Linked DNA regions of Diceros bicornis minor. The protein of the gene in region 1 interacts with the protein of each later gene in a biochemical or structural test. Links are inferred from orthologs where the notes say so. Each region holds a gene or a part of one and is shown on either strand. Other genes may lie near its edges.

The links.
Region 2: of the proteins of NPM1 (region 1) and CDK2, one has a biochemical effect on the other in vitro, tested with the Homo sapiens proteins (2 studies listed by BioGRID). The link is inferred for Diceros bicornis minor from reciprocal best matches to the Homo sapiens genes NPM1 and CDK2.
Region 3: the proteins of NPM1 (region 1) and GADD45A form a complex in vitro, tested with the Homo sapiens proteins (2 studies listed by BioGRID). The link is inferred for Diceros bicornis minor from reciprocal best matches to the Homo sapiens genes NPM1 and GADD45A.
Region 4: the proteins of NPM1 (region 1) and HMGA2 interact in far-western blotting, tested with the Homo sapiens proteins (2 studies listed by BioGRID). The link is inferred for Diceros bicornis minor from reciprocal best matches to the Homo sapiens genes NPM1 and HMGA2.

The regions. Positions count from the first base shown.
Region 1 is NC_080740.1:85,422,421-85,429,617, reverse strand, and holds the start of NPM1 (nucleophosmin), read right to left. Parts: upstream 3,013-7,197; 5' UTR 2,925-3,012; coding exon 2,867-2,924; intron 697-2,866; coding exon 617-696; intron 14-616; coding exon 1-13. UniProt on the Homo sapiens protein: Involved in diverse cellular processes such as ribosome biogenesis, centrosome duplication, protein chaperoning, histone assembly, cell proliferation, and regulation of tumor suppressors p53/TP53 and ARF.
Region 2 is NC_080756.1:12,774,662-12,781,910, forward strand, and holds the start of CDK2 (cyclin-dependent kinase 2), read right to left. Parts: upstream 3,013-7,249; 5' UTR 2,823-3,012; coding exon 2,707-2,822; intron 1,959-2,706; coding exon 1,881-1,958; intron 1,773-1,880; coding exon 1,652-1,772; intron 997-1,651; coding exon 826-996; intron 328-825; coding exon 226-327; intron 1-225. Other genes in the region: melanocyte protein PMEL, read left to right, coding at 3,814-3,889, 6,101-6,211, 6,367-6,513. UniProt on the Homo sapiens protein: Serine/threonine-protein kinase involved in the control of the cell cycle; essential for meiosis, but dispensable for mitosis. Phosphorylates CABLES1, CTNNB1, CDK2AP2, ERCC6, NBN, USP37, p53/TP53, NPM1, CDK7, RB1, BRCA2, MYC, NPAT, EZH2.
Region 3 is NC_080743.1:6,451,083-6,458,887, forward strand, and holds the start of GADD45A (growth arrest and DNA damage-inducible protein GADD45 alpha), read left to right. Parts: upstream 1-4,805; 5' UTR 4,806-4,928; coding exon 4,929-4,972; intron 4,973-5,481; coding exon 5,482-5,583; intron 5,584-5,801; coding exon 5,802-6,039; intron 6,040-7,127; coding exon 7,128-7,241; 3' UTR 7,242-7,805. UniProt on the Homo sapiens protein: In T-cells, functions as a regulator of p38 MAPKs by inhibiting p88 phosphorylation and activity.
Region 4 is NC_080756.1:4,950,639-4,958,131, forward strand, and holds the start of HMGA2 (high mobility group protein HMGI-C), read right to left. Parts: upstream 3,018-7,493; 5' UTR 2,319-3,017; coding exon 2,208-2,318; intron 1-2,207.

The DNA.
Region 1 (7,197 bases):
CCCCTAAACTGACCTGTGAACAGAAAAATAGTACTTCAACTTTTAAGTTGCCACTATTTTACAATTCCCCCCCAAAATGAGTTTTTTAAAAAACAAAACTATAAACTTTTCATTATTACCACTGATGGAAAACTAATTTGAGCACAATGTTGTCTTCAACTTTTATGTGACCCTGCCCATCAATTTCTCATATTCAGTAAATCTGAACAAATGCATAAAAATGCATTTGATGACACAGTTGTATATGTCACCACCTATCCACAGTATGGATCACCTAACATTTATTGACCACCTACTACAAGTTGAGCAGTCTAGACACTAACAGAGGCTAGTCTCTGTGGGAGGGCACAAAAGATTTATCACTACCCTAAAGGGCTTTATAGTGGAACTGAGGCATCAAAGTATACAAATATGGAAAGCTGAACCAACAGTGTGACTGGACTTTACATAATTACCAAATGAGTGGTGAAAATGCCAGGTTTTCTATCAGAGGTATATAATCAGGTATATACAACACTCAGTTATAAAAAATACTTAAGTATTAAGCCACACGAGGAGGAACTAAGAGACTGAAATGGACAAAGGTTAAGTAGTTTATTTTGAAAAGTTTAAGTACCGTTCTTAAAGATAACTGGTGCTCATTTTCATCATTATCCACCTTAAAGTGATAATCTTTGTCAGCCTTTAGTTCACAACCTGTAAATGAAGAAAAAAGCAACTATAACAGAGAAAAAAATAACAATGAAACTTCAGTGTGGGTAACTAAAAAAGTATTTGTGAACTAGTTTTTCACTATTCTGGCTACCAGAAGGCAAGGCAGAAGTATCTCTTTCTGGATCTCTTGAACACAAACATGTATAAACATCATATAACATCCACACAGGGCTTAGGGCTTCATAAATTCCACTTTCCCATTATACTATTTGATTCTCAACTACACTATTACCATTCTCAGATAGAAATAAGCTCAAAGATTTAGTAAATCTGTAACTGAAACAAGTATCTGAAACCAAATTGTACGATGTTGGTAAAATCCCACTGTTTAAAAAAGCTGAAATTACCTAACTCAACTCCCAAGAAAAGCAGCAAATTTAGAAATGAGAATGGTTACACAAATGCCTACATGAACAGTTTGTATTTACAACAGAAAAACTACAAATGTAAAAGAACTAAAACTTGTTAAGGGGCCAGCATTCCATCTTTCAAGTAACTGAAATGATGTACATTAAATCACATTCAAAAATTATGTTTAAAGCAAGAATAGATATACCCTAAAGATATTTCCAATAGAAACGTTAACACAAAAATATTTGGGTGTAAATTGATCAGAAACCTCAGCTCTTCAAGATGGCTAGAATAAAAGCCTTAATGTATAGTGCATGTTACCTACTCCCACTCCACAAGTAAGAAAATTGTTTTAAATACCATCAGAATGAAACTTTAAATGATTCCATTTAATTGCCATCTAACAGTTACTGGTGCATATGTTTAAATGTTATCGCTCAATTAACAAATCTCAGCATGGTATATAAAGAAACAAAATAAATTTGAGGCAGGATTTGCGCTTACTTCCAAGCCTGACTGACACAAAGAAATGGCTTCAACAACCAAATTCACTGCGACTGAAAGCCAAACCAGGCCTCTCCTTAGTATGTCACTGTGTGCTGAGGAGGGGGAGAGATCTCAAAACCTTGGTATAGAATTACAAGTACAGTACAGTATCAGGTCTTATCGACCTAACTGAACTCTCGGCACATTTCTCATCTTTAAAAAAAAAAAAAACAAAACTGTTTGCTCGATGCCACACAGAAAACTGTCTCCATGGGCCTCTCTCCAAAAAAACAAAAAACCAATCCTTTATAACGCACCAGCTCTGGAGACAAGGGTCTTGGTTTAGATCTAGTCTCTATTTACCTACAAGTGCAACATTCTTTAAATCACTTTAGTTCTCTGAGCATCAGTATCGTCATCTGCAAAGTGGCTACTCCATCCATCGCGGTAAAACAGAAAAATGGCTCTAGAAATGAGAACTACCATCATAGTACGCAAATGTTAAGCAATGAACAAAGACCTCCAGAATCCTGGCGCTACCAGCCACTTCACCTAACATTTCCCGCCCAACAGCCTCAACTAAAACCCAGGACCCCAGGCTCGGGGGTGACAGGACATCAGTGAGCCCCGGATGCAGCGCCCACACCCCCACCTTGCCCCAACCACGTGGCAACCACGTGCTCCCAGCGGTTGCGGCCTCCTCACGCCCGGCCGGGCCTCCCCTCCCCCGGTAACCAGCCGACGCACCCGGGCCGAGTGTCGGCCCTAGAGCTCCTGACCCTGAGGCCTCAAGGCCGGAGGACAACGCCAGGCTGGAAGTATCCTCTCCTCCGGAAAGGAGGCCCATGCTCACATGACGAGCCCACACAACCTCCTGCACCAAGCCGAGGCCCAGCACCGAAGACACCGGCGCGGAATCGGAAGCCTGCGAACTCACACACCCCTAAAAAGAAATCACGCTCCGGGCTCGACTGTGCGCCCTAGGCAACGCCGAACCCTCAGCCTGTCGGCTCCACCTTCCCCAAGGCCCTGGGCCTCGGACCGCTCACGCCCCAGGCTTCAGGCCGCCCCTCCTTCCCACCCTTGGCGCGCCGGCTCTCCTGTCCTGGCTCCCCATCCCTCAGGCTGCAGAGCCCCGGCAGCCCGCTTCCCCCACCTCTCAGGCGGCAGGGCCCCGGCAGCTCGCGCCCCACTCCCCAGGCCTCCAGCCTGCCTGCCTTTCTCCACCGGCCCAGGCCTCAGAATTCCCGCCCCCCCCCCCCACCTCAAAGCCACTAGGCCTGCTCGGCCTCGCTCCAGCCCCCCCAGCACTTACCGAAAAGATAGTTCTGGGGCCTCAGGGGGCTCATGTCCATGTCCATCGAATCTTCCATGGGGTGGTGGCACGCACTTCGGTGGGAGAGAAGGCGGACGGAGACAAACGACCACTGTTGCACAGAACAGCCGCGCAGGACGGAATCACACCAGGGAAAGGACGCGGGCTCCCTGCGCACATATATAGCATCTTGAAGCTCTCGCGAGAGCTGACCAAGTCCCGTCTCTGCGCGCGTGCTCGGGAGCCCCCCTCCCCGGACCGTCGCCTTCCCGCGCAAGCGCTCTTCAACATTACTCCCTTCTACCTCGCCCCCCACCTCCTCCAGGTACTTCGCGGGCTCCCACCGAGCACGCGCACTCGTACCCCGGCCCCACCCCTCCGCCGCCGCCGCCGCCCGTGCGCACGCGTGCTTTCCCCTGGTAGCGCGCGCTCCCCCGCCTCCAAGCCTTCCACGTCCTCTCCAGCCCAGGCGCGCGGGCGTCGCGCCAAGAGCCTGCGCAGCCCACCCTGCAAAATGGCGACGGCAAGTTTTAGCTGTGTTAGGTGTGGGGGGCTAGCCAGTTAGAAGTGACCCAGAAAGCAGCTCGCTTCACCTTTCTCCATCCCTTCGTGCCTCGCAGACCTCCAAACAGGCATAACCACTTCAGGATTTTTGACTTGCCTAAAGGCCCGGGCTCAGAGTTGTATCCCCCAAGTTAAAAGCTTCAGGTGCCAGAGACAAGAGTGGACTACGAATTATTCTTTGTTGGCGAGAAAAGATGCAGCTGCTGGCCGCACTTACCCAACTCTGTTTTTACAGCTCTGTACTTTCTGAGGAAACATCTCCGAAGTTGAAATCTCTCATCTTTATGTCATTTTGGGGCCAAAAGAGAACTGAGTCAGCCTCTTCCATAGAAGCCCCGCAAGAACCAGGGCTGGGTGATTTCTCCCTAAAGACAAGGGCTGTGTATCGGAGCAAGCCTGTGGCATAGCGGTTAAGTGTGTGCGCTCCGCTGCTGGCGGCCCCAGTCCGGAACCCCAGGCGCCCACGGATGCACCGCTTGTCAGGCCATGCTGTGGCGTCTTCCCACATAAAGTGGAGGAAGATGGGCACGGATGTTAGAGCAGGGCCAGTCTTCCTCAGCAAAAAAGAGGAAGATTGGCATGGATGTTAGCACAGGGCTGATTTTCCTCACACAAAAAAGAGGGCTGTGTACCTGCAATAAGTCCCCACATCAGGTCCCGTGAGGCCGGTGTGACTATCCCCACTTTGCAGACAAGGAAACGGGTGAGAGAGGTGAAGTAAGGTACCCAAATGGGTGATGAGATGGTTCTCGAGCTCTGAGTCCCGTGCTAACATCCTTCTAAAAGAGCTGGGAGGGTTATGTAGGGACCAGTCTCTGAGACAGCGCACTACTCAATCTTGAACATTCCTAAGAATGTTCTGAGCTGTAAAGAAAGCGTCTAACTTGTAAGAAATGCAACCTTAATTAGACTCTTGGGGAGTGAGCCTGGAAATTAGCATTCTAAACCAGCTACACCTTGACAAACTGAGGACCTCCGCAGCTCCAGGGCACTGTGAGTTTTGAGGATCCCCTCTAACAATCTTTTATGTCAACAGATCAGACAATAAGAAGTACTGTGAAGAGTAAAAATAGTGCCAGTGATGCCCCTACCACTTTTTCCCCAAAGACAATCCAGTTGGGAAGATAAACTACAGAACACATGAACCAATTATTAGTTAACAAAATCAAAATCCTAAATTTGGAGAAATCAGTGTGACCAGTATGTGAATGAGGCCAAGCTGTTCCCCACCTTTTTCCTCACCCCTAAGTGAAGAAGAGCCTTCACCAACATGGTTCTTGGATCTTTTGAGTTGGAGAAGATGAACAATTGCTAGAGAAAAAACTGAGACTTGGAAGGATATTTATGTAATGGAATGAGAAAGGCTGATAAAAGGGAGGAGAGGACTGTGGCTGAGAAGAATCTGGGGATTTAGAATGGGAAAGTCTCAAGAGGAGCTACAGGACAGTGTAGGAGAAGGGGTTAATGTTCTTTGAGCCCATGCAAGTAAAAGTTGGAACTACTTTGTAATTTCTTTCTGGATTCTCGACCATGATTATTCAAATTTAGCTCTGTACAGATCCTGAACCATATGGGAGCTATAGCTCATGTTTTATAAATACATTTGTTGTTTTAATATTTCAGGCACCTAGTCTAGATATGATATCATGGAATCAAGCAGTTAAAAAAATCACTTATTGCATTTTTCAGATTTACAAATGTAATGAATGCTCACTATCTTTTTAATAAATTAAAGTTATTTAGGTCTATACACGTGAAAAAGTAAAATGCCTCTCTTTCCATATCTCTGTTTCTATTCCCTAGGAGTAATCACTGTTAATAGTTGTGTGATTATCCTTCCAGACTATATATATAGGGAGAGAGAGATTACATAGTTGGGGTTTTTTTCTTTTGTATTTTTTTTAAATGTGTGTGATTCATATATTTTTCACCTTTTTTGCATATTCAAAAATATATTTTGGACATTTGTCCAAACTAGTACATAATATGGAAATGTTATGATTTAATATCCATTCCTCCATAGATAGACGCTAAAATTGTTTTCATAGTTTTGCTATAAGAAATAATGCTTTAGTAAATGTTATGGACTGAATGTTTGTGTCCCCCCAAAATTCATACGTTGAAGCCCTAATCTTCAATGTGACTATATTTGGAGTTAGAGCCTGTGAGGGAGTGATAAAGGTTAAATGGTTAAATGAGGTCATAGGATCAGCCCTAATCTGATAGGACTTGTGTCCTCCTTATAAGAGGAAGAGACACAAGAGCTCGCTCTCTTTCCTCTATGTGAGGCCACAGTGAGAAGGCAGCTGTCTGCAAGCCAGAAGAAAGCACTTACTGGGAATTGGATTAGCTGGCACCTTCATCCTGGATTTCCAGGCCTCCAAAAGTGTAAGACAAATTTCTGTTGTTTAAGCTACCCAGTCTGCAGTATTTTTTTATGGCAACCCAAGCAGACTAATACAGTATCTTTGTACATATATCCTTATGGATGTCTTAAAGTAGTTTTGTAATATGTATTTCTAAGAAATGGACTTGTACAGTAAAAGGGCAGGTATTTACTTACAAATATATGTACATAAAAATGCAACTTTTTGTTGTTTACATAAATAGGCTCATCCTTTATATATTGTTGTCTTAGTCCATTAGGCTGCTATAACAAAATACCACAGACTGGTAGCTCATAAACAACAAATTTATTTCTCACAGTTCTGGAGGCTGGAAGTCCAAGATCAGGGCGCCCGTGTGGTCAGGTGAGGACTCTCTTCCAGGTGGTAGACTTCTCCCTGTATCCTCAGGTGGTGGAGGGGGCTAGGGATCTCTGTGGGGTCTCTTTTATAAGAGCACTAATCCCATTCATGAGGACTCCACCTTCGTGAACTAATCACCTCCCAAAGACCCCACCTCCTAATACCATCACCATTGGGGGTTAGGATTTCAACATATGAATCTGGGGGGAATACCTTCAGGCCATAGCAATTTTCTGCAACTTCGCTTCTTCATTTCATGTGGCTTAGTTACCTTTCCATGATATTATATATGGAAGCTCACTGCATTCTTTTTAGGAGTTGCATTATATTGCATAAGATGAACATATATACTATTTCCAGGTTTTATTTATTTCTTCATTTGTTAACACATTCTGTGATGGAAATCTTCAAACACGCACAGAAATAGAATATTATGATGAACACCAATATACCCATCACCCAGCTTCAACAATTATCAACATATAGCTAATCTTGTTTCATATATACCTTCCCACCATCCTTCCCACTCCCCCTCTGCTGGATCATTTAAAGAAAATCCTAGATATGTATATTTTCATCTATAAATACTTAGTATGTATCTTTAAAAGATAACAATTTTTAAAGCCTAAACATAATACCATTATAATACAAATCAAAGTTTTAAATAAGTCCTAATATTATGAATTATCCAGTTCAAATTTCCCCAAATGTCTCTTGTAGTTGGTTTGTGTGAATATCCAAACAAGGTCTACACATTATACACTGAGACATGTTGTCATTTAACATGTTTCCTTATCCCTTGTGTTTTCTATGAGTTAGTAGATCAACAGCTGCTCTGTCAAATGTGGTTGCCACTAACTATATTTGGCTACTTAAATTTAAATTAATTAAAATTAAAATTTGAGGGCCGGCCCCGTGGCTTAGTGGTTAAGTGCGCGCGCTCCGCTGCTGGCGGCCCGGGTTCGGATCCCAGGCACGCACCGATGCACCGCTTCTCTGGCCATGCTGAGGCCGCATCCC
Region 2 (7,249 bases), on another chromosome or scaffold:
TGGGGATAAGAGAAGTAAACTGGATGCTAAGGCTGTTTGAGGATATCCTAACATGTGGTTGACATCAGGGACAACAATCCTATCCTTCCCCACCACCCCGCGTGGTGCTACTCTAGAGAAAGAACCCTGTGATAATAGGCCCATGAGTCTGGGCCAAGAAACAGTTCTGTTGTTCTTAAACGTGGGGAGGAGTGGGCTGGGTGGAACTAGGGCATGGCTTCGTACCATCTCAGCAAAGATGCAGCCCAGGCTCCAGATGTCCACAGCTGTGGAGTAGTATTTGCAGCCCAAAAGGATTTCAGGTGCTCGGTACCACAGGGTCACCACCTGGGGGATAAGAGTGGGAAGGGGAGGGATGGTGTATGGGGCATGGAGATTCCCACGTCTCAGTTCCTCAGCACTACTCTGCTAACTCTCAGGCTCTTAACAAGCAGCTTCCTTCCCTCCATCCTTCCCCTCCTTCTGACTTCGCCTAAGTGAAATGATTACACACCACTTCTTAGCCCAGAGTTAGCCTTGCCCATGGCTCTGGGAACCGTATTTTCTGAAGCCCCGATTTGTGACCTTTCTGGAAAACTTGAGACAAGTCGTCATAATTTTAATGGTGTGCCATCCAGCTCTCCTGGCTTGGTATCTATCAAAGGCCAGTTAGCCCTACGGTATGAAGGTATGAACTATGTGCATACTCTAAGACCTCCTGGGGTGTCAGAGATACTTTCCATCTACTGAGAGAGAAACTGCTGCCAGGTATTTTTAGTAACTTTGTGAATGTCTTTGTTAACACCTCCCAGGAAGTTCAGAGAAGAAATGCAGAGAGAGACTCACCTCATGAGTATAAGTACGAACAGGCACTCCAAAGGCTCTGGCTAGTCCGAAGTCTGCTAGCTTGATGGCCCCCTCCGCATTGATAAGCAGATTCTGAGGTTTGAGGTCTCGGTGCAGGACCCGGTGAGAATGGCAGAAAGCTAGGCCCTGGAGCAGCTGGAACAGATAGCTCTGACAAGGGAGACAGAGAGGACTGTGTTTTTCAACCACAGTGAGAAGATTAGGGTCTGCTCTGTGCCTCCAAAGCTCTACTAAAGCCTTTACTATGTTGGATCATAATTACATGTTTACAAGCTATTTCTCCCACTGGATTGTCAGCCCAGTGAGGGGTAAGGACCAGGTCTTATTCAGTTTTGCATCTCTTTTCCATATGCTGTGCCTAGCACATTGAAGGTGTTCAATAAATGTGCATTGAATAAACATTTGTTGACAGATTGAAAGTAGCTCCAGGAGTAAAGAACACAGGCCTAAAACAGACAGTAGAGAGCTGCTGGCTATTTCTTCCACCAAACAGGTGGAAGGGCTTTTTAGAGGAATCTACCAAGTGCCCTCAAGTCCCATTTATCTGAGTTTCATCTGACCTTCCACCTGAGCTGCTAAGTTGACTTACTAGAGTTTCCACTTCTCTGATTCTCCTGCCCAGCCCTGGGGTTAATAAGCATAATGAGCAGTGAAAGAGCCACAAAAGAAAGGGGTAGGTATTTGTCTGTAGGGGAATGAGGGCTGGGGAGGAAGCCACATTACAAATCATCACTCAGTCTGAATTGCCTGCCTTCAGTCCCCTCCAAGATGCCCATGATGAGGAGGAGTTGAGGAGAAGGATTACCTTGATGAGGGGAAGAGGAATGCCCGTGAGAGCAGAGGCATCCATGAATTTCTTGAGATCCTGGTGTAGAAACTCAAAAACCAGGTAGAGTTTGTTTTCTGTGTGGATGACATCCAGCAGCCTAGGGAAGAGAGGTCCAGGAATGGAGGTGAGGGAGAGAAATGCCCAGACTTCACAGACAGAAGGTATCCTCCTTTACTATCAGAGTACCTCCCAAATACATACTTACTTGACAATATTAGGGTGGTTAAGCTCCTTAAGCAGAGAGATCTCCCGGATGGCAGTACTGGGTACACCCTCCGTCTCACTTGGAGAGGTTGGGAAAGTAGAGATGGGAATGTGGTTACAAATATTCTTTTTCCTCCAGCCCAGTCACTCCCTCTCCCACCTCCCACCCCCCCTCCACAAGGTGACACCACCCCCAGCATCCCCTAGGAAAGTGAGAGAAGAGAAAGAGTGCTGTAGGAGTTAATTCATGGGTGGTCAGGGAGTGGCTTTTAGACATATTAAGGTCATTATTTCTTCTTTTCCCAGGGGTAGGTAAGTAAAGCCTCCTGGTGAAGGTGAAGCAGAGAGAAGGTAACAGAAAAAAAATGGGACTAGCAGCACCCAGCCTCCCTGGAGGGGCCAGTGAGGTTCAACTGTCATTCTTTTGAAAGAGGGAGAGAATTCTAAGATGAGGGTGGGGTTGGGACAGTGAGGAGGGCTCTTCCTTCAGAAAGGTGCTTTTCACCAGTTCCTACAAAACCCAACTCCACCAGGAGTCCTGGACCCCATCTCAGGGGCCTCCTTAGTCTTCCTGAGTCTTTCTGACTGCACATTTAGGGGGGTATCACCCGGCTTTGGGGAGGAAGTTCCCCATGGATTGTGCACTACGCTATATTCTCCACAGGGAAACTTTCTACTGTCCTCCAGTCCACCTCTCCACCTCAAAAGAAGTCCCTCCCTGCTACCTTCCGGTCCCTGGACGGCTACCCGCCTGTGGGGGTGGGGGTGGGGGTAGGGACACTCAAGGAGCTCCGGAGTTAGGAGTCCCGGGTACAGAGGCCACTCACGTGTCCAGGCGGATTTTTTTAAGCGCCACCACTTCTCCCGTCAACTTGTTTTTGGCTTTGTACACAACTCCGTACGTGCCCTCTCCGATCTTTTCCACTTTTTGGAAGTTCTCCATGAAGCGCTAGCGAGCCGGGTCAGCCCGGCCCTGGAGCGGGGGCCTGGGAACCCTGCAGAAAGCGGGCCCCGGCTCTCGGGGGGCCAAAGAGGGGGAAACAGGGCCCAGCACCGCGACCCCAGGTCGGGATGGAACGCAGTGTATCTCTCGCTCTTGTCAATTTGTCCAACTTAAAACAATGTTGCCGCCTCCCCCCCAGTTCTCTACCGCCACCAGACGCCCCGCCCCTCCTTCCCGCGTTTCCCTGGCTCCGCCCCCGGGCCTTCCCATTGGTCAACGTCAGAGCGGGCGGGGCGAGCCCAGCGCCCCTCGCCGCAAATGACCTTCCCGCACAAGTTTGGTTCTGAGGGGCGTTAGAACAAGCTTCTGCGTCGGTGACGAGGCTGAACACCTTTTTCCAAGTACCTGATTTGGGCTCGAGTTTCCGACCCGTGCCCTCAGTCTGTAGGGACTTCCTGATCTTTAACTCGCAGGGTTCGCCACCCTTAGGGGAAATGTGTATCGACCTAAGATTAAATTCCCCCCGGCCCAGGGAGCCTCCTTTGAAAAGCAGGAAGCTGGGAATCTCATTGTAAGGGTTTCCTGGGCCTCGGAGGAGTCGTTGCCTCCGCCTCTCAGCCTACCCTGAGACTGTCTTTCTGTTTTTGGATGCAGGATCTCTTGTCTTTTTGAGAGGTTCCTGTTGGACTCAAACAACAGACTGATTCACTCTCCCATGATGAACTGTGTGTGTTCGGTATGTGTTACGTAGCTGTTCTTTCCCGGGAGGATGGAGTGTGTCCAGATGAAAGTGACCCAGAAACTGTCATTGAGTAGTGGGATGTCCAGGGACCAGCATCCCTTGTCAGTTCTGCCGTTCTCCGGTCCTCCCGCCCCTCCCAGACCTTCCCTGGAGGGAGAGGAGGAAGGGCTATGCAAATAAGCACCCCTTTCTTATACAGGGGCTTGTCCCAGCCCACCAGCACCTTTGGTTGCTGGAAGGAAGAAGAGGATGGATCTGGTGCTGAGAAAATGCCTTCTCCACATGGCTGTGATGGGTGCTCTTCTGGCTGTGGGGGCCACAGAAGGTGAGTGTGGGGTGTGTGGAGATGAACAAGTATGAATTTGAGATTGCGCATCTGCTCTGGTTTTCCCCCTCCTAATAGGAGTTACCAGCAATACTTCTGTCTTCTCCCATCCATTTGATTTAGTGAGGACATGGGCACCTGAGCTCCCTCCCCACACGGAGATTTGGGACTGGACCTGAAAATAATCCCATCTGCTTGGAAGGGAAAGAGGATAGTGGATCTTCACGGCCCTAATTCTGAGGCCCCCTGCTCAGTGAGATGGAGCAGGGGCTCCAAAGGGCTGAAATGAGTGGGAGACTCTTTTAGGCAATGTCTCAAACACTTGGGATAGGGTAAAGTGAGGAATAAGAGAATGTGGTATTGGATAAGAAGGGTAAGGGGGCCCCATCGCCCCTCTTTGGGATGGAGATGGGCGAACACAGCCCAGGCTTTTGTTCTGGGGCTGGAAGAGACGGGCAGAGGGTCTCAGCTGAGCATCACATGAAAGGGCTTTGGGGGATTGAAGCCTCGTGACAGGAGCAAGGGATGGGGGCAGGGGTGGTGAGAGGGTCTGGAATGTCCCGTGCTGCTCTGAGAAGGGAGGGTTGGGAGTGGAGAAAGAATAGGGCATCTTATGATAGGGTGGGATGCTCAATGACATGCTTCCAGATCCTCCCCCAGTGGAATCAACTAGGTTTCCAGTACACATTAGAAATGGAGTGAGGACAGTTTCTGCTGTGCTGAAATATATACCTCATATCCCAGTCCCCATTTTCTTTTTTTTGTTTTAATAATTTTATTTATTTTTTCCCCCAAAGCCCCAGTAGATAGTTGTACGTCATAGTTGCACATCCTTCCAGTTGCTGTATGTGGGACGCGGCCTCAGCATGGCCAGAGAAGCGGCGCGTCTGTGCGCGCCCGGGATCCGAACCCCGGGCCGCCAGCAGCAGAGCGCCCGCACTTAACCGCCAAGCCACGGGGCCGGCCCCAGTCCCCATTTTCTATCTCTAGATCCCTAGTCACACAGACTTCTAGGAAGTTCTCCTTGATCTGACTTCCCTCATTCATGCTGCAGTTTCAAGTCTTATTCTTTTACTATGTTCCTTAATGTATTCTGGAAACATTCTGTTCATACTTGTCCACCTGAGGCTCTTAAAAGATTGTGCTTACTTTTTGGGTCCCAATTTTTAAAATCATAAGAAGACATTTTTGGATATTCATGAAATTTTATATTGACTGAGTTTGATAATTTCGTCTAGTATAAATTGACATTGTTCTTATTCAAGAAAATATTCATGTTTAAAAAAAATTGTTTAACCCTACAGATACATGCTGCATTTGTAGGGTTAAAATAACAAGATGTCTGGGATTTTTAAAAAAATACTTTAGCCAAAAAACAAACAAACAACATTAACAAAAGAGAGATAAGACAAATGTGGCAAAATTGTTGACAGTCATTGGATCTGGGTGAGGCATATGGAGATCCATCATATCCCTTTTTTTCTCAGACTTCTCTCTTGGTCAGTTACAATAATTTTATCTGCTCTGTCCCCACCCGCAACCTTTGCCTGCCTCTGATCCATCCTCCTCACTGCTTGCCAGTGATCTTTCTAAAACACATCTGATCATATTCAAAAGCTTCTGAAGGGTGAATTTTATGGTATGTGAATTATATCTCAATAAAACAAACAAACAAAATCTTCTGAGGTGGCCTTGCCTACAGGATAAAGGCCAAACTCCTTCACCTGGCACTGAAAGCCCCCATCTTCTTGGCCTCATCTCTCACAGTGTGCATCAACCACATTGCTGGTAGTCTCCTATCATGCCAGGTGCTTCCCTGCCTCCATGCATCTGCTCATGCTGGGCCTTATCCCACAGGCCAACTCCTCACTGACATCTCTCCCAATCTGCCAGAGTAGAACTAGTCTGTTTAGTTTGTCATTTTCATGCACTTTGTGCATGTCTGTTATGGTTCATATTAAACAGTGCCTTGAATTATAGTAATTTATGTATATGTCTATTTCCTATACTTTACCTTGAATCCCATTAGGGCCATGTCTTGTTCATTTCTTAAGTCCTTTGTACCTAGCATAGTGCCTGGTACCTGGTGGGTATTCAGTAAATTAAAATGCAATTTGAATGTGAGAATGAGTGGGGCCACATGGGACGGTGTTATCCCCTGAGAAGGGACTGAGTGAGGATCCTAGGGCCCTCATGGTACCTTCCTTTTAGGACCCAGAGGCCGGGACTGGCTTGGTGTCTCAAGACAGCTCAGAACTAAAGCCTGGAACAGGCAGCTGTATCCAGAGTGGACAGAAATTCAGAGGCCTGACTGCTGGAGAGGTGGGAACTTGACAATTTCTGGGGAGGGTATGGTGGGAACGGGGTGAGGAGAGGAGCAAGAACTGGGTTGGATGTAGCTTGGGATGATAGGAAGGGAAAAGGTACATGGGGAGTGGAAACCAAGGAGTCCCAGCTAATGCAGCTGCCCTTCCCAGGTGGCCAGGTGTCCTTGAAGGTCAGTAACGATGGGCCTACACTGGTTGGGGCAAATGCCTCTTTCTCTATTGCCCTGCACTTCCCTGAAAGCCAAAAGGTGCTGCCAGATGGGCAGGTCGTCTGGGCCAACAACACCATCATCAATGGTGAGTACCTTTCTACTCCAGGCCCTCATTCCTAGGGCTCGGATTCCCTGGTATCCCCAATGAGCTCAGGGAATGCTCCCTTCCCCTCTACTTTTTTTTTTTTTTTTTTTTTTTTACAAATTATACATGTAATACATATTCATTGTAGAAAAATTAGAAAACACAGAGAAAGCAAAAAGAAGAAAAAATTATAGTCTCCAAAATGGGGGACAGAAGACCCAGTGGACCTAGAAGTGGGACAGACTTTGATTTAAAGTTGCTACTAGCATGTGATCCTGGGCAAGTTACTTAATTCTCTTATGCTTCCATTTCCTTATCTAGAATGGGGATGATAACTTGAAAGGTTGTTTTAAGGATTAAAATGTGATAATCTGTAAAGAATTTAGCATACACCTTCCACAGCCTACAGTAAAGGCTCAATAAATATTAGCTGGGGCTGTTATTTTTATTTTTAGTGAGGAGATCAGCCCTGTGCTAACATCTGCCAATCCTCCTCTTTTTTGCCGAGGAAGACTGGCCCTGGGCTAACATCTGTGCCCATCTTCCTCCACTTTATATGGGACGCCGCCACACGGCCAAGCAGTGCGTCAGTGCGCGCCCGGGATCCGTCCGAATCAGCGAACCCCGGGCCGCCGCAGTGGAGCGTGCGCACTTAACCGCTTGCGCCACTGGGTCGGCCCCGTGGTGCTGTTTTTATTTTTATCCCACTAGCTAGAGCAAATCACTCTAAACATTT
Region 3 (7,805 bases), on another chromosome or scaffold:
TATTGAGACAGAGATGATGAGTAAGCCTGAGGTTCAGAAGAGGTGACTGACCAGATTGGAAGTATATTCGAGAGTCATCAGCATATAAGTATTTAGGCCATGAGACTGGATGAGGTCACCAAGAGAGTGAGTTTAGATAGAGAAAGAAGAAGTCCAAGGACTGAGCTGTTAAGAGTTGAGGAAGAAAACACTGCAATGAAGTAGATGGGTGAAAAGAATCAGCTCTTCTATTTCAGAGATAGAAAATTCATAAACCTGTTCAAGGTACCAGAACAAACTACCAATGGCCAATTACCAACTCAGACCACCTACCTTCTTCACCAGTGATTAGCCCACCAAACAGAGACATTCACAGAGAGAACATCCCTACTACAATGGAAGCCTTAACTCAGTGGGAAGGTGGGGAAATGGGGTGAGGGGTCCTTGAAAAATGTCTCTTTATTTGACACCTTGCCTGGCTGGCCCTGCATGGCTGGTGAAATGTGAACACCTGGTGGGAATACAAGGTGGTTAGCCTAAAGCTCAAAGCAACCCCATGACTCGACTTCCATGAATATTCATAGCTGAAGATAATTTTCATCGGGTAAAGATTTATTGAACACATGACAAGATGGCATTAAGAGGATTGTACTAGGTTTTGATGCTATGAAACAAATTACCACAAACAGTGGTTTAAATTAACACTCATTTATTATCTCACAGTTTCTGCAGGTCAGAAGTCCAGGCATGGCTTAGCTAGGTTCTCTTGTCAGGGGCTCAGAAGGCTAAAATCAGTGTTTCCCAGGCTACATTCTCATCTAAAGGCTTGACTAGGAAAAGATCTATTTCTAAGCTCCCTCAGGTTGTTGGCAAAATTCATTTCCTTGCAGCTGTAGAATATGGAAGTTCACTTCTTCAAAGCCAGCAATGAAGAAAGAGAGTCTCTGATGCTTCCAATATCTCTTCAGAGAAGGCCTAGGCCCTCTTCTAAAGGGCTCACCTGATTAGATCAGGCCCACCTAGCATAATCTCCCTTTTGTTTAACTCAAACTCAACTGATTAGGGACCGTAATTACATCTGCAAAATCCTTTCACCTTTGCCATAGAATGTAATATAATTGTGGGTGTGATAGCCCAACATCATTGCCATATTCTACTCGTTAGAAACAAGGGATGGGTTCCGCCCACACTCGAGGGAAGAGGGTTATACAGAGCTTAACATCAGAGGTTAGAGATCATTGAGCCCATCTTACAATTTGCCTACCACAGTGATGGTCCAAGAAACTAAACATTTATGTTAAATTCAAATGCAAGTATTGATCCTAAGAAATGACAAATTTTTAGGTGACAGTAAATCTTGTCTGAATGGTCTTCTCTGGGGAAGAAATGAGGGAAATTCAGAGCCTGCCTTTAGAAACTAACTTCACCAGACTTATGCAAAAAATACATAAGGAACCTTATAATTTTTAACAATAAAATAGAATACAGAGTTCTAGGTAGTAGATACATCTGTTATAGTCTAATTGATCTCCTTTAATGTGAACAATGATCTAATACCAAAATAATAAGCATCATATTTCTTTCAGATGTTAAAGGATTGACTAATTTTTGAAAAAAAGAAAAGTTATCATTCTATACTATAGAACAAGTAGTAGGAACATATGCATACTAAAAGCGAAGAAAATATCAAAAAGACTCTTAATATGCAAAGTAAGTAGATGGCTAAAATAATTCAACAATTTTTGAGGACATATTTCCATCTGATTTCCAAATATAACCATTTGGCATCCTTACAAATATTACTACAAGGTCATTCTAGTCCTGTGCAGCTGAACTACTTGGAGCCACCTGGGGTGGTTTTAAAAATGATTTCACAGGGCCACCCCCGTGGCTTAGCGGTTAAGTGTGTGCGCTCCGCTGCTGGAGGCCCGGGTTCAGATCCCAGGCGCGAACAGACACACCGCTTCTCCGGCAATGCTGAGGCTGTGTCCCACATACAGCAACTAGAAGGATGTGCAACTATGACGCACAACTATCTACTGGGGCTTTGGGGGGAAAAAATTAAAAAAAAAATGATTTCACATATTGGAGTTATTTTTAAAAATACATATATGTGTGTGTGTTCTATACTAATCTAGGGAAATTCCTCTGGTTTATCATTGGATACCAACTTCCCACTGGCCTGAGGAGCATTTATGAAATATATCATCTATGACCATCCTAATATATAACTGCAATCTAACTGGAGCTAAATGCAGCTTCTACTTGCAGCCATGAGGACCAGCTTCGAAGATCATCACTGATGAAACATTCTAGGTAGACTCAGCAATGAGGCAAAATGATGTAACATATCTGAGTCAGAAAATATGACAAATGAATATTTTTGAATACTGGAAGGCTAGGCTTATCTCAGAGAGCAACCGACAACACTGGAACAAACCACTTTCCCATGAAGCCACAGACAGCACGCAGGGTAGCTTCTGAGTGAGGGTCTAGGCCTGTATTAAGAAATAGCTCTTTTATACCACATTTTTACTGCACAGCATTGTCTTGGGTGAGGTATTATTAGGGCTGTGGTTCATTTGAATTGGCATAAACAATACACGGGTTCTACTGTCCTACAGTTTCCGTTCAGATGACTAAAGTCATGGGACTTCCAGCATAGCTAGCTGATGACAGTGCATGCTATTTTGTCCCAAAATCCAGTCCAAGCATGGACATACCAATTAAATGGTAAGCTCTTTAAAGGCAAAGGACCAGGAATTGTACAGTTCTTGGTACATAGTAGATCAAAGAAGTTTTTTCGAACTAAAGATAAATGTGGAATATCTTAGAGAGAATTCATGCAATGCACAGGACTGCAGGATTCTGAGATCTTGTTCAACTCAATAAACATTGACTGTACTTCTCCTAAATGCAGAAGTTGGGCTGGGTGCCAAGAACACCACGGTGATGAAGTCACAGTCCCTGCTGTCAAGAAACTCACATGCATCCCTAATTCTTTTTCAGTTTGCTGTGATCACACTTTCTTCCAAAGAACCTCTAAGAAACGCCTAGTGGATAGAACCTTGGAGTTCCATGGAACACGGTTCAATAGTCTCCAAATGATGACTCAGGCCAGAGTGTATAATTCAGGGTTTGTTCGAAAAACTTCAGAACCCACCTGAATTTCAATTTTAAGGAATTCTTTAACAAAGACACTACACATTACGATTTAAGGTATAGAAATGAAATACACAAGCACCCTTGGGTAAATTATGCATTGGCCACCACCATTCCAAAACATTGTCCCTTGCTGACAAGGCAGTTAGGGATTAAGTGCAAAAAGGCAGCTCAAGTAAATGAGCCAGAAAACTGAACTCTCACTTTTCTTTTCCACTAAATTAAGATCAAGAGAGCTGGAGAATATTTTGTCTAGAATGATACAAACATACGGGTGCAAAAACTCCCATGTACCTTTGCAAAAAATGACTTCTGTGACCTTTAACTATACAGTGACCTTAATAATGCAAGCGTTGTTTTGAATGGAAGCATATGGGGGGAATTTTCACCTCTTCTGGTGACTTGAGTAGGTTTAAGACATGTTTTTGCACTTATTGTATAAACTCATAAAACAAAGGGAAGAACTTGCAACGTATTCGGCGAAAGTCTACACATTAAAGTTTGCTTTTCAAAAATGTGTAACTACTGCTTGCTTTCCACCCACAGGTCGCCATTATCTCAAAGGTGAAATTTTAGCATATGACTAAAAGGTCCTATGGCTGCTGCTTCATGATTCAGCACTGGCCATCAATAATTCACTGTGAGATCACAGGCTCTCTGGGGAGGGCAGTGACATACTTGCCTCATGAAAGGAAGCTTAGGGCATATTGAGAGCATTCTGAATTTAGACTCGTGGCTTATGTGGGTGTCAGACATTTGTCTCTTAGCTGGTGCCGGTTCAGAAGGATCCTCCTTTGGGGAAGGCTCTCTGAGAAAGGTGAGCTTGGGTTGAAGGCCAGGATACACACGTGTGGTAACCAGCTCCCGGTGAACATGGTTTCCCCGAGTTACCCTGGGCAGGTGGGAAGCCCTTCTGCTTTCTGCGGAAAGGATTCCAACTTGGTTCCCTGCCACCACCCAAGACAAATGTGTTGATTTTTCTTTTTTGAGCTTCCAACCCTTGCAACCTTCCAAAAATAAATCAAACCAGCCATCAGGGCACCGAAATAATACTACTACTAATAAGCAGCTTTGCCTGGACTTACACAAACAACACTTCTGAGGTAACTTTGCTCCGGAGGTCTGGACACACTCTTTTTATGTAAACTGCTTACTAATAATTACTGGACTTGGGTGCATTAACCCCGAAAACAGATTTTAATAGCAACCCCTAAAAACAAAAGACATGAAACGACAATAAAAAAAATGTGCACCAACTGAGAAAAACACTTGGCAGCCTGTTCCAGCCCAAGCTGAAGACAACCCGCTTTCCCTCCCCCCGTGCAAAGACCGCCTCTCCTTTGGGCCCCGCCCACGGAATAAGAGTCCGCTCGGGACCCCGCCCCCGCCCCGCCCCCGCCCCTGGCTCGCCTTCCGCGTGGCTCCTCCCCCTTCCGCTCCTCTCAGCCGCGGTCCGGGAGCTCGGGTCAAATTGTCGGAACATGCTGATTTGCATAGCCCAATGTCTGCGCGTATGCAAATGAGGCGGGCGTTGGTTGGCCGGGGGTTGGCAGGATAACTCCGGCGAGCGGCGCCTTTGTCCTCCAGTGGCTGTGAGGCAGCAGCCGGGTGGCAGTCGCGGCTCGCGGCGGGGCGAGTGGCCGGGGGCGGGCGGGAGGGCTGACGGCGCGGCGGCGGGGCGCTGGAGCGGCCGGGGCCGGAGTGCAGACAGCCGGCGCCCGCGCGCGCTCGGTGGCAGGAGCAGCCCGCACGCCGCGCTCTCTCTGGGGGGAACCTGCAGTTGCAATATGACTCTGGAGGAATTCGCGGCTGGCGAGCAGAAGACCGAAAGGTGAGTGGGCCGACTGGCCCCGGGGGGACCTCGGGGGGCCTCGGGGGAGTGCCGCCGGGCTCCGGGAGGTTTGCGTGGGGCGAGCGGTGAAAAGTTTGCGGAGCGCACCTCCCTCCCGCCTTTCTCACTCGGGGACCCTCCCAGGGGCGCCCGCGGACGGAAGGAGCGTGCCCCCCAACCCGGCCGACCCCTCGGGGCTTTGCAGAGGGCACAAGCGACCGTCCCTGCGGTGCAGCTGCTGCGGCGGGCAGCCTGTGCCTGCGCCCAGCCCGGGACTGGCAGTGCCCTCGGGGAGGGTGGCGGGTGACACTCTCGGGGCTTCTCCCCGGACCCCGGCCTCTGGGCGTGCGAGGGGTCGTGGGGGTGCCGGACCGGGGCGCCCGGGTTTGCAGAAAGCTGAGGTGCGCGGGGGCACGCGCTCGGGGGGAAGGTCGCGGTGCGGGTCGAGGGGCGGCGACGGCCCGAGGGCACCCGGGCTGACGGGACCCCTTGCTCTTGCCGGCGTGTAGGATGGATAAGGTGGGGGATGCCCTCGAGGAAGTGCTCAGCAAAGCCCTGAGTCAGCGCACCATCACGGTCGGGGTGTACGAGGCGGCCAAGCTGCTCAACGTGTAAGTGGGGCCCTCGCGTGTCCCCCGTGGCCCCCTGCGCGCCCCAGCCCGGGAGGCGCCCTCGCGGGGCGCCCCTCGCCTGCACGCCGCTGTCCATCCGCGCGGCGGCTGCCTGCCCCGGCGAGCGAGCGGGCCGGGCGCGACCCCCGGGACCCGGGCGGTGCGGGCGCGCGCGGGGGTCGCGCCTCGGCGCTCACCCGCACCGCCCCTGCCCGCAGCGACCCGGATAACGTGGTGCTGTGCCTGCTGGCGGCGGACGAGGACGACGACAGGGACGTGGCCCTGCAGATCCACTTCACCCTGATCCAGGCCTTCTGCTGCGAGAACGACATCAACATTCTGCGCGTCAGCAACCCGGGCCGGCTGGCCGAGCTCCTGCTCCTGGAGCCCGACGCGGGGCCCGCGGCCGGCGAGGGCGCCGCGCAGCCCCCGGACCTGCACTGCGTGCTGGTGACGGTGAGGGCCAGGGCGCGCGCCGCCGCGTGCGAGGCCTGGGAGGAAGTGGGCCGGGGCGAGAGTCGCCTGACTGCGGGTCGGGCAGGGGTGGGGGTCACGAGCGGGGCCGCCTTTGCCCCATTAAAGAGAGCGGCTGGACTTTCAGCCGAGATGTGCTAGTTTCATCATCGGGATTTTCTCCCGTACGGAACATGTCTGAGCACGTTGGAGGCTGCCAGCCGCGGAAGAGATCCTTGTGAGTCAGCAGAGTCAGCCCAACTACTCCCTACCTACATCTGCACTACCTCCCGTGACTAATTCCTTTAGCAGGGCGGATTAGATAAAGCCACATAAATTCCTGGCTCACCCTCATTAAGGAGTCAGCTTCATTCTCTGCCAGTCAAAGCTAAAAATAGAAACGGTGTAGGAGACAGACCTTATTAATTCCCTAGAAATACATTAAGAGGATAGAGTGGAAATTTTTCCTTTGCAATCTTGCATTTTTTTAATGGAGCTTTTTTCCTAATTAAAAACCTTGGGTGGGTAAATAACTTGTGTTTTCAGAGGTAAATGAGATTTTACATCATCTTTTGTTTTTACATTTTACTGTTTTTTGGCTGGTCTAGCTAAGTGGCAGCCTAATTATTTTGCTACTCCTGAAGAATATGACTCCACCTTTTGGGAGGATAACAGGTGGTGACTGGGTGGTGACTGCTGTGCAGCTCTGTCTCATTGTATGAACGGCAGGGAAATGTTTCTCAAAGTCATTTTACTCAGGTCTCTGCCATAGTACAAGTTTGTTAGCAGGAACCTGTGAATGATACCCTCATGCAAAACTGAATAAATAGTATCATGCAAACATATGTAGATGGCTCAGTGGGTTGCGTGCTTCAGACTTTGTAGAGTATAGGTTAGGGGAGAATTACCTTTAATGATTTTGCAGGAAACCTGACTACCTGGAAGAAATGTTATTTTTTATGGCTGTAACTGGTCTTCATGTCATGCAAAATATAGAATGTTGAAGTGTCTTCTGCTCAAAAGTAGTGTAATTATTAGCAAATGCTGATTTTTTTTTAATAGTCAATTTATTTTTCGAAATTTGTTCCCAGAATCCACATTCATCCCAATGGAAGGATCCCGCCTTAAGTCAACTTATTTGTTTTTGCCGGGAAAGTCGCTACATGGATCAGTGGGTCCCAGTGATTAATCTCCCTGAGCGGTGATGGCATCTGAATGAAAATAACTGAACCAAATTGCACTGAAGTTTTGAAATACCTTTGTAGTTACTCAAGCAGTTACTCCCCACACTGATGCAAGGATTACAGGAACTGATGTCAAGGGGCTGAGCGAGTTCAACTACACGTTCTGGGGGCCCGGAGGTAGATGACTTTGCAGATGGAAAGAGGTGAAAATGGAGAAGGAAGCTGTGTTGAAACAGCAATACAAGTCACAAGGAACAAAAGAGACAACCACGCAGGAAGGAAAACAAACTATGTATTAATTTAGGATGGTTGAGTTACAGTTAAATAAACCAAATACGCTTTGTTCAAGTTCAAATGTGCAGCAGTAGTTTGGGTATTTTTGGTTTGTATGCCCTCAAGTAAAAGAAAAGCAGAAAGGGTTAATCATATTTTAAAACCATATTTTATTGTATTTTGATGAGATGTTAAATTCTCAAAGTTTTATTATAAATTGCACTAAGTTATTTTATGACATGAAAGGTTATTTATGCTATAAATTTTTTGAAACACAATACCTACAATAAAATGGTATGGAATAATTGCATC
Region 4 (7,493 bases), on another chromosome or scaffold:
CATTTCAACAATATTCCATATTGAAAAGATAGTTTTTAATCATCTCTATATATCTGCATTATAGGTCAATTCTGACTCAATCAACACATTGAGTGAAATATTGGAGCAATTATCCGTGTTCTTCAACTCAAAATAACTCCATTCCCCCTAAAATTCCCAAATAATTATGGTAAATCTGTTGTGGGAGGTTTTGCTTGAATTATCTAGATAATTGCTTCAATTCTCCACTTCCTTTTGGAAATGTAGGCATGGTCTCCGGTCTAAATTTAAATATCTTTTGATAAAAATAAGGTTTTTCTCCAAAACTTTCTTTTGAGAAAACTCATGGAGGTGGATTAGAGGAAACAAAAAGGGGAAAAAAGTGAGAAGGATTGGAAGTGTCTGGGAAGGAGAAATTGAAACTATCAATAGGTTTAGCAAAACTTTAAATGGCTTCTATGCCAAGTAGTAAATACTCAAGTGGCTAAGAGAAAGCGATGATTAATATTCCAGATCCTAAATATTTATTCGGTGAATCATCAATTTACATTTCATTCAGATTCGGTGATTAAATGAGACTAATTAACTTAAAACGCATGAAAGTCTTCAATGAGAATTCGCATCCTATTGAGAAAATCTGGGGAAGTTTCCCTGCAAGCTTCTGTGGGACCACTAGCGCCAATGGGCACATCCGAAGCAAACACGTCGGAGACGCATTTTTCTTTCTTTGTGAACTCTGCCTTAACTCAAAGGTAAAACCTCCAATCACCCCCAGACCCCGCTGCAATTTCTTCTGGATGATTTTTTGGAGGTGGGGGGCAATTAGCAGAATTAGAGAGAGCCGGGTGGCGGGTGGGAAGCAGGGCGGGGGGAAGGGCAGAGACTTCCTGGGAGGTGTAAAACAGGATCGGAACGCGGTATAAAGAAAGTGTCGCTGGGGCAGAGCGGGAAAACGCAGGGGCCTCTAGATTGGCTTGTTTCCTTTGATGATTTCAAAAAGGTACAACCCTCTCCGTTTTTCTAAAACGCACCGGCAAGCAAACATTGTCCGATTTCCCCACCTTGCTCTCGGGCGGCTTTGGGACTCTACGATTATTTCCTAGTCGGCCTCTTTGCCATGAAGGAAGCGCTTTAAGGCTAAGGAATGAAGAAGTTTTAAAGCCCGCGGAAGCGGAGTTTAAATGTTCTCAATAGACACGTCCCGCTCCAGCCCTGCCCGCCGAGGCTTGGAAACCGCGGCGAACAAAACCCCTGCCCTGGGCGCTGCGCACAGCTCTGCAAGCGCCGGCTGCACGCTTAATTGGTTGCATCCGCAGACAAAACCCTCCACTCCGCGGGGTCCCGGGCGCCCCTCGATCGTCCCCTCCCAACCCCCAGCCACTCGCCCTGGAGAAGCACATTGAATGTCTGCAGTTCCAAGGCGCGGGATCCTGGGGCAAAAAGAGTACGGGGCAGCTGGTGAGGAAGTGACCCTAGCTACCGTGCACCCTCTCGGACACTACTTTCCACCGCGCTCTTGGCCAAACGAGTTAATCCCGTCCCGTGGGGACCCCAGGTCTCCTGCAGCCCCTTCCCCGGGACACCTCGGCGGCGGCGGCGGCCCGCAGACTGGCCGCCGCGCCGCATTTAAAGAGCTCTAAGAGGACCAGGCGGGCCCACGAGCTCTTTGTCGGGAGGGCGCGAGTCTCGGGCCACCGAGAACTTGGGGAGGGAGCCAAGGGGGCGGCTGCGGCGCGCCAGTCCGCGGCCAGCGAGCAGCTCGGGTAGGCGGGAGAAAGAGCCTCCGGCCCCCAGGACTCAGCCCCTCCAACCCTGAACCGCCCGAGCACCGCTGCCCCCGGCACCTCCTTCCCCCGGGGCAATTGCAGCAGCAGCTCGGAAAGCGCCGGGCCGCCTGCAGTCGCCGGGAGACCGCGCGCCACTGCGGGCCGTGCACAATAGCGAAAGTCCGAGGACGCGCTGCGCCCGACCCCACCTCCCGCCTCCGCCCCGCCGCGCGCCGCGGCTCCCCACCTCCCGGCCGCAGCGGCGCGGGCGCCCCGGGGCTCCGCCGCGCACTCGCGCCGGGGACGCCGGGCCCCCCCCCCCACTCCGGCCGGCAGGAGGCGGGCGGGCGGCGCGCGGCGGCCGCGGCGACTGGGCTCCCGCGCTCGGGTGGCCACGCGTGGCCGGGCCTGCGCGGAGGGCGCGGAGGTGGGCGGCTGCCCCCACCCCGCCCGCGTACTGACTTGCTGCTGCTTCCTGGGTCGGCCGCGTCCTCTCTTCTGAGGCGCCGGGGCGGCAGGTTGTCCCTGGGCTGAAGTGGACGGCTGCCCGGCGCCCTCACCGCGTGCGCTCATCCTGCCTCCCGCCGCCGCCGCCGCCGCTACCGCTGCCGCCGCCGCCGCTACCGCCGCTGCAGCCGCTTGGCCTCGGCCGCCCCGAATCCGCCCGGTACCTCTCGGGAGACGGGGTGATAGGGCTGGAGACCGAGGCAGGGGGAGCGAGAGCGGGCGTGCTGCGAGGGCTGCTGCTGCTTAGGCTGCCGCCGCTGCCACCATCAACACCGGACGTCCAGCGGCTGCCAAAAGAGAGCAGAGGGAGGAGGAGGAGGAGAGAAGGAGGCGCTGCTGGTGGCGGCGGCGGCGGTGGGTGGGTGCCGGAGGTGGAGGTGGCAGTGGAGGTGGAGGTAGCGAGAGGAGCAGGAAAGCGAAGGCGAAGAAAAAGAGGGTCGGACGCTGGAGAGGCTCCCCCTCGGTTTGGGATCAGGAGTTGCGGTCACCGGGAGCACTTCGGAAGAGGCTTGGAAAGGGAAGAGACTTGGAGTGAATTGTGTCCCTTGAAATGTTAGGCGGGGAAAGAATTCCTCCTCCTCTTCCCCCCCTCTCCGCGCTCGCAGAGCAAGAAAGAGAAAGAGAGAGAAAGCAAATAGCGCCTTGGGCCGTCGGGAAGCAGAGGCAGGATGGGGAGAGCCGGCCGGGATCGGGTCGGGCACTGAGCGCGGGCGAGGGACGGAGCAGTGGGTGGCACCGCGCCTCTTCGAGTGGCGGGAGCGGGCGGCAGCGGCACCGGAGAGCCGGAGGGGGACGGGCTGCTCGCTCCTGCGTCCTGCACCAAGCGCGCGCTGCCGGGGCTGGAAGTTTTCTGAGTTCCTGCCCCAGGATTCAAGCGGGATGAGTGTGTGTGTGTGTGTGTGTGTGTGTGTGTGTGTGCGCGCGCGCTTGGGGAGGGGGCGCCGGGGGGGGGAGTGCCCACCTCTAATCGTGGGCGGATAAAGGGGAGGGGGCTGCGCAGGAGGAAAAGTATGAGGAGGAGGGAGGCCAGGCGGATCGCCGAGCCAAGGCGCCTGGCCGCGGGCCAGAGGCAGCGTTCGAAATACAACTGCCTTGGCGGCGGCGGCGCCCGGGTGCCACCCGGAGCCCCGCTCACGTGCTCCCGCCCGGCGGCGGGGTTAAAGGGACAGGCCGGGGATCCCGGCCCGGCTCGCCGCCGGCCTCGCCCCGCCCGCCGCCCGAGGTCGCCCCTGGGCGGTTGTCCTAGGAAGGCACGGGAATGTGACTGTCTCAGAGCCGCGTTTCGGGGCTTGGCCCTTACCTGCACCTCCGCGATGCGGAGCCAACACTCTGCAGGAAGCGTCTAGCTGCACGCGCGGCGGAGTTCTAGCTCCCTGTGAGTGGGAAGGAACGGAAGAGGAGTAGGAGCCGGCCGCCGGCAGCCCTGCTCTGCCTCGGAATGCCCTCATCACAGATCGCACGACCCGGCCCGCGCACTTGCACGCGGACACACACGCACGCACGTGCACGCAGATACACGTGCACACTCGCACAGGCACATGCATGCATAAACACACACTTAAACCAACACGCGCTCACTTACATGCACATTCGCAGACATAGGCACACGTGCAAACAATGCACACACATGCACACGGGGCGCGCCAGCTTCTCCATTGAGCATTTTCCTCCGGGAAAGACTAGAGGCGACGCGAAGCCTCCCCCCCCGCCCCCGGCTGGCGCTATGCACCCGCTTTCCAACGCTCACAGGGTAAAGCGGTTGCCCCACGCGGGGACCTGGTAGCTGCCTAACACCGCAACTGCGCCAACTGTCCAACTCGCCCTTCAGTTTACCTCGATTTAACCTTCTCGCTAGAAACTCCCTTTCTGCCAAGTCCTAATTTTATAGCTTGGGCTGTTTCTGAGTTATGGGAACACCATCATGACCACAGGCCGTTTTAAAAAGGTGGAGTACATTTTAAAATGTACCTCTTTTCATCCTTGAATAACAAAAAAACTGAAAAAATTAGGTTCAGATTTTCACACATCACACCCAAAATTATTTTGGACTAATTCCAGAATAAAAACTTTCACTCGAAGAAGAATTTTTTTTTTTTCCCGAAAATACAGACCACCGTGGAATAAAAACGCCTCCTTTACAGCCCTAAGCAGCCCTGCTGGTGGAGGAGGCGCGCGTAAATGTCTGCTCCGGGGCGGCGGCGCTGATTGGTCCGCGTTGCCATTTTAAATCCATTGCCAGCTGCCTTTTGCCGAGCTGGGACACTTCGCTGCACATTGAGTGCCCTGCGGAAACCCAGGGTTTCTCCCGGGTCTGGGAACGCTTAGCTGTGATGGAGAGGGAGAGCCCCCAACCCTCCGGATGGAGCCCAGCAGCTGACTGGGGAGGGAGGGGTCTAACAGGAACCAAAGATTTTCTGCCAGGGCTTGGCTGAAAGATGGTATCTTCATCAAAGGGATTGAAATTTCCCGTGCTAAAGTTTGCTGTGACATTTCCTAACTGCCAAGTGTGCACATTTTTTAATGTGATCACATTCGCACTGGGCTGTGCACATTTCACACACGCATGCAAAACGGGCTTCTTGATTGTTGTTTGCTTGCTTTTTACAAGGGTTAGAGATAATTCTGAGGATGAATGTAAGAGAAATCACCTAGCCTTTCAGCCAGCCGGTTTTATAGGATACATGCGTAATATCCTCAGATGTATTTTTCGTGTGCATAGAGGCCGGCAAGGAGGGAATTCCAAAATTTTATTTTTGCATTAGTCGTTGACTTTAAGAAAAGCACAGCAAAATGAGGGGTGGGAGAATGTCCTGCCACTTGTTTTCAGGCCCCTGCCTCTTTGCTATCAGACTATTTGACCCCTTTTGAATTTATAACAGAAGGATATGAAACAAATATTGCATCAAGTTTTGTCTAAAACAATTTTATATATTTTCATTTCTGGAAGCTACATTTAATTTTTTTCAGGTTATATTTTCTGTATATTTTTAGAGGAGGCCTTAAAATCTACCTTCATGCTTGAAATTACTTGAAACTTTTAAAAAGGGTGTCATCTATTTTTATTAAGTTCAATGGTTATGTTTTAAAGAGTGGATATTTTTCACATTTACATTTGAGGGTTTTTGTCTCCCTGTTTAAGTTGCTCAGTTGTTCACTTTCTCTTCTTTATCTTACCATATTTTACCCATCCACTCAAGGCTAAACTCTTATTTCTAATTTGAAAACTTTCCAGGTGGTTTTTGTCCATATGAAACTATTTCTTTTCTTCTTCTGCACCTACTTTCAAACTGAACAATTAGCATCTTGGTTGTATACGTAAACAAGGTTTCTAATCGTCTGTGATACATGATGTCGTGTTTGGATCAGGTCAGCTCATTAATGGCTGGTAAAATTAATTCAGTGGACCCATAACATCATTTAAAAAAAAAATAGAATACAGTAGATAATATAACATGTAAAAGTTCTGTTTTAGTTATATAGCACACGTGTAAAAATTATATACAAATGCTTTTTTTCCATCTTTTCATATATTTGGAAATTGGGGTGTATCTTAGAGTGTCTTAGCACTGTGTTAGCACATACTAGACAGTATCTTCTCTGCTTTAGCCTGTTTAGTATCATAGTATATATGATACTAATGTGTTTAATAATCGACGCCACCGTAGATCGGTGAACTATCTGTATGTAAGGTCTATTTCTGACTGTGGGTTGCAGTGTAACCTGTTTCAATGCCACTGACTTAGTTATGAGACCTGGGTTCCCTTCCCACTCCACTGAACCAGGTCTGCAGTGCTTGGTGAGTCGTTTCTCCTCTCTGTGTCTCAGGGTCCTCATTTCTAAAAAGATCAGCATAATCTCTGAGCATTCTTCCACTTCTAATAGACTTACACGTATAATATCTTGTTCTCTAATTGTGCCTGTTTATATGTAAATTGTATGTAGATTCCATGGAGACAGGTAGTATTTCTAACGCCTCTTTTTTGCACCAGTTGTGTGTAGGTAGTGTTCAGTTCATAATAGACTTTTGGTACTTACTAATTTCTGGCTATGACAAAGTAACTCTTAACAAGTTACTACTTTACAAGTGTACCCAGGATGAGAAAAGCATTACATATATTAAAATAGCTTCAACATTCTTTTGACTGAAGGAAGATGCCTGTGTGATGAAGAAATTGAGGTTCTCACGTTGCACTTTATCACATTATATTTATACTTTAATATATTCATAAATTAAAGAATAATTTAAGGATTTTCTCAGATTATAACCGATTGAATTAATCAGGGATGTATTTTATATGTATTAAGCAGGGATTTATTATAACCAGATATTTTGGAAGTGAATCTATATAGGGTCACAGAAAAAAAATACAACTAATATTTATTGAACAGAACGCATAGCATATATACATACACAGACACACATATATGCATTGTACATAGAAGCTCACTATAGTACAAGGTAAACACATATTTCTGAAAAACATTTCCAGTGTTTTAACATGAACTCATTTGCACTGCTCAAACTCAGTTTTAGATATTGGGTCTTTTAAAATATGCTAAGTATTTAATGAAATGTAGAAAAGAGAATCTCTAAGAGTTTCCCTACAGTATCACCAGGGAAGAATATGTGCTGCCAAGTTAACATTGTAGTGGTGGGGGAGGGTATTGTGGACAGGACGGAGAACACCAAACAAAATGAATTCATCTACTCATTCATTCAACAAACATATATTGAGTTGGTTTTGCAGTAATCTCACCAATTATTCTCTCAGGACTTAGGAATGTAATTCATTCAGAACTGGAGAGAATCTCTTTTGAAACAGCTACGTGCTCATTTAAAATCTATGTACCTATTATGTTAAGCCTTTCATTTACCATTACAAATATTTATTCTCCTTTATCCAATCCATAGTTCATTCAACAAATATTTATTGAGTACCTAATATGTGCTGGGATTCACAGAACATTCTTTTTGACAAAAGCCATGGAAGCAGAACAGAAGTAGAACAATTTCATTTCCATCTCTCATCTATGACACTGTACTGTAGCCCTGAGGTACACTATCCCACAGCTGTGGATAGCAGGAGGAACATGGGCTTTTAAATCAGATTTGGGATGGGAGGTGTGGTAGGCGGAAGGATAAAATGACCCCTATGATTTCTTGGCCCCCGGTGTAGTTGCCTTGCATAATCCCTGAGACTGTAATATGGTGACTTTTACTCCCATGATTAGGTTATCTTA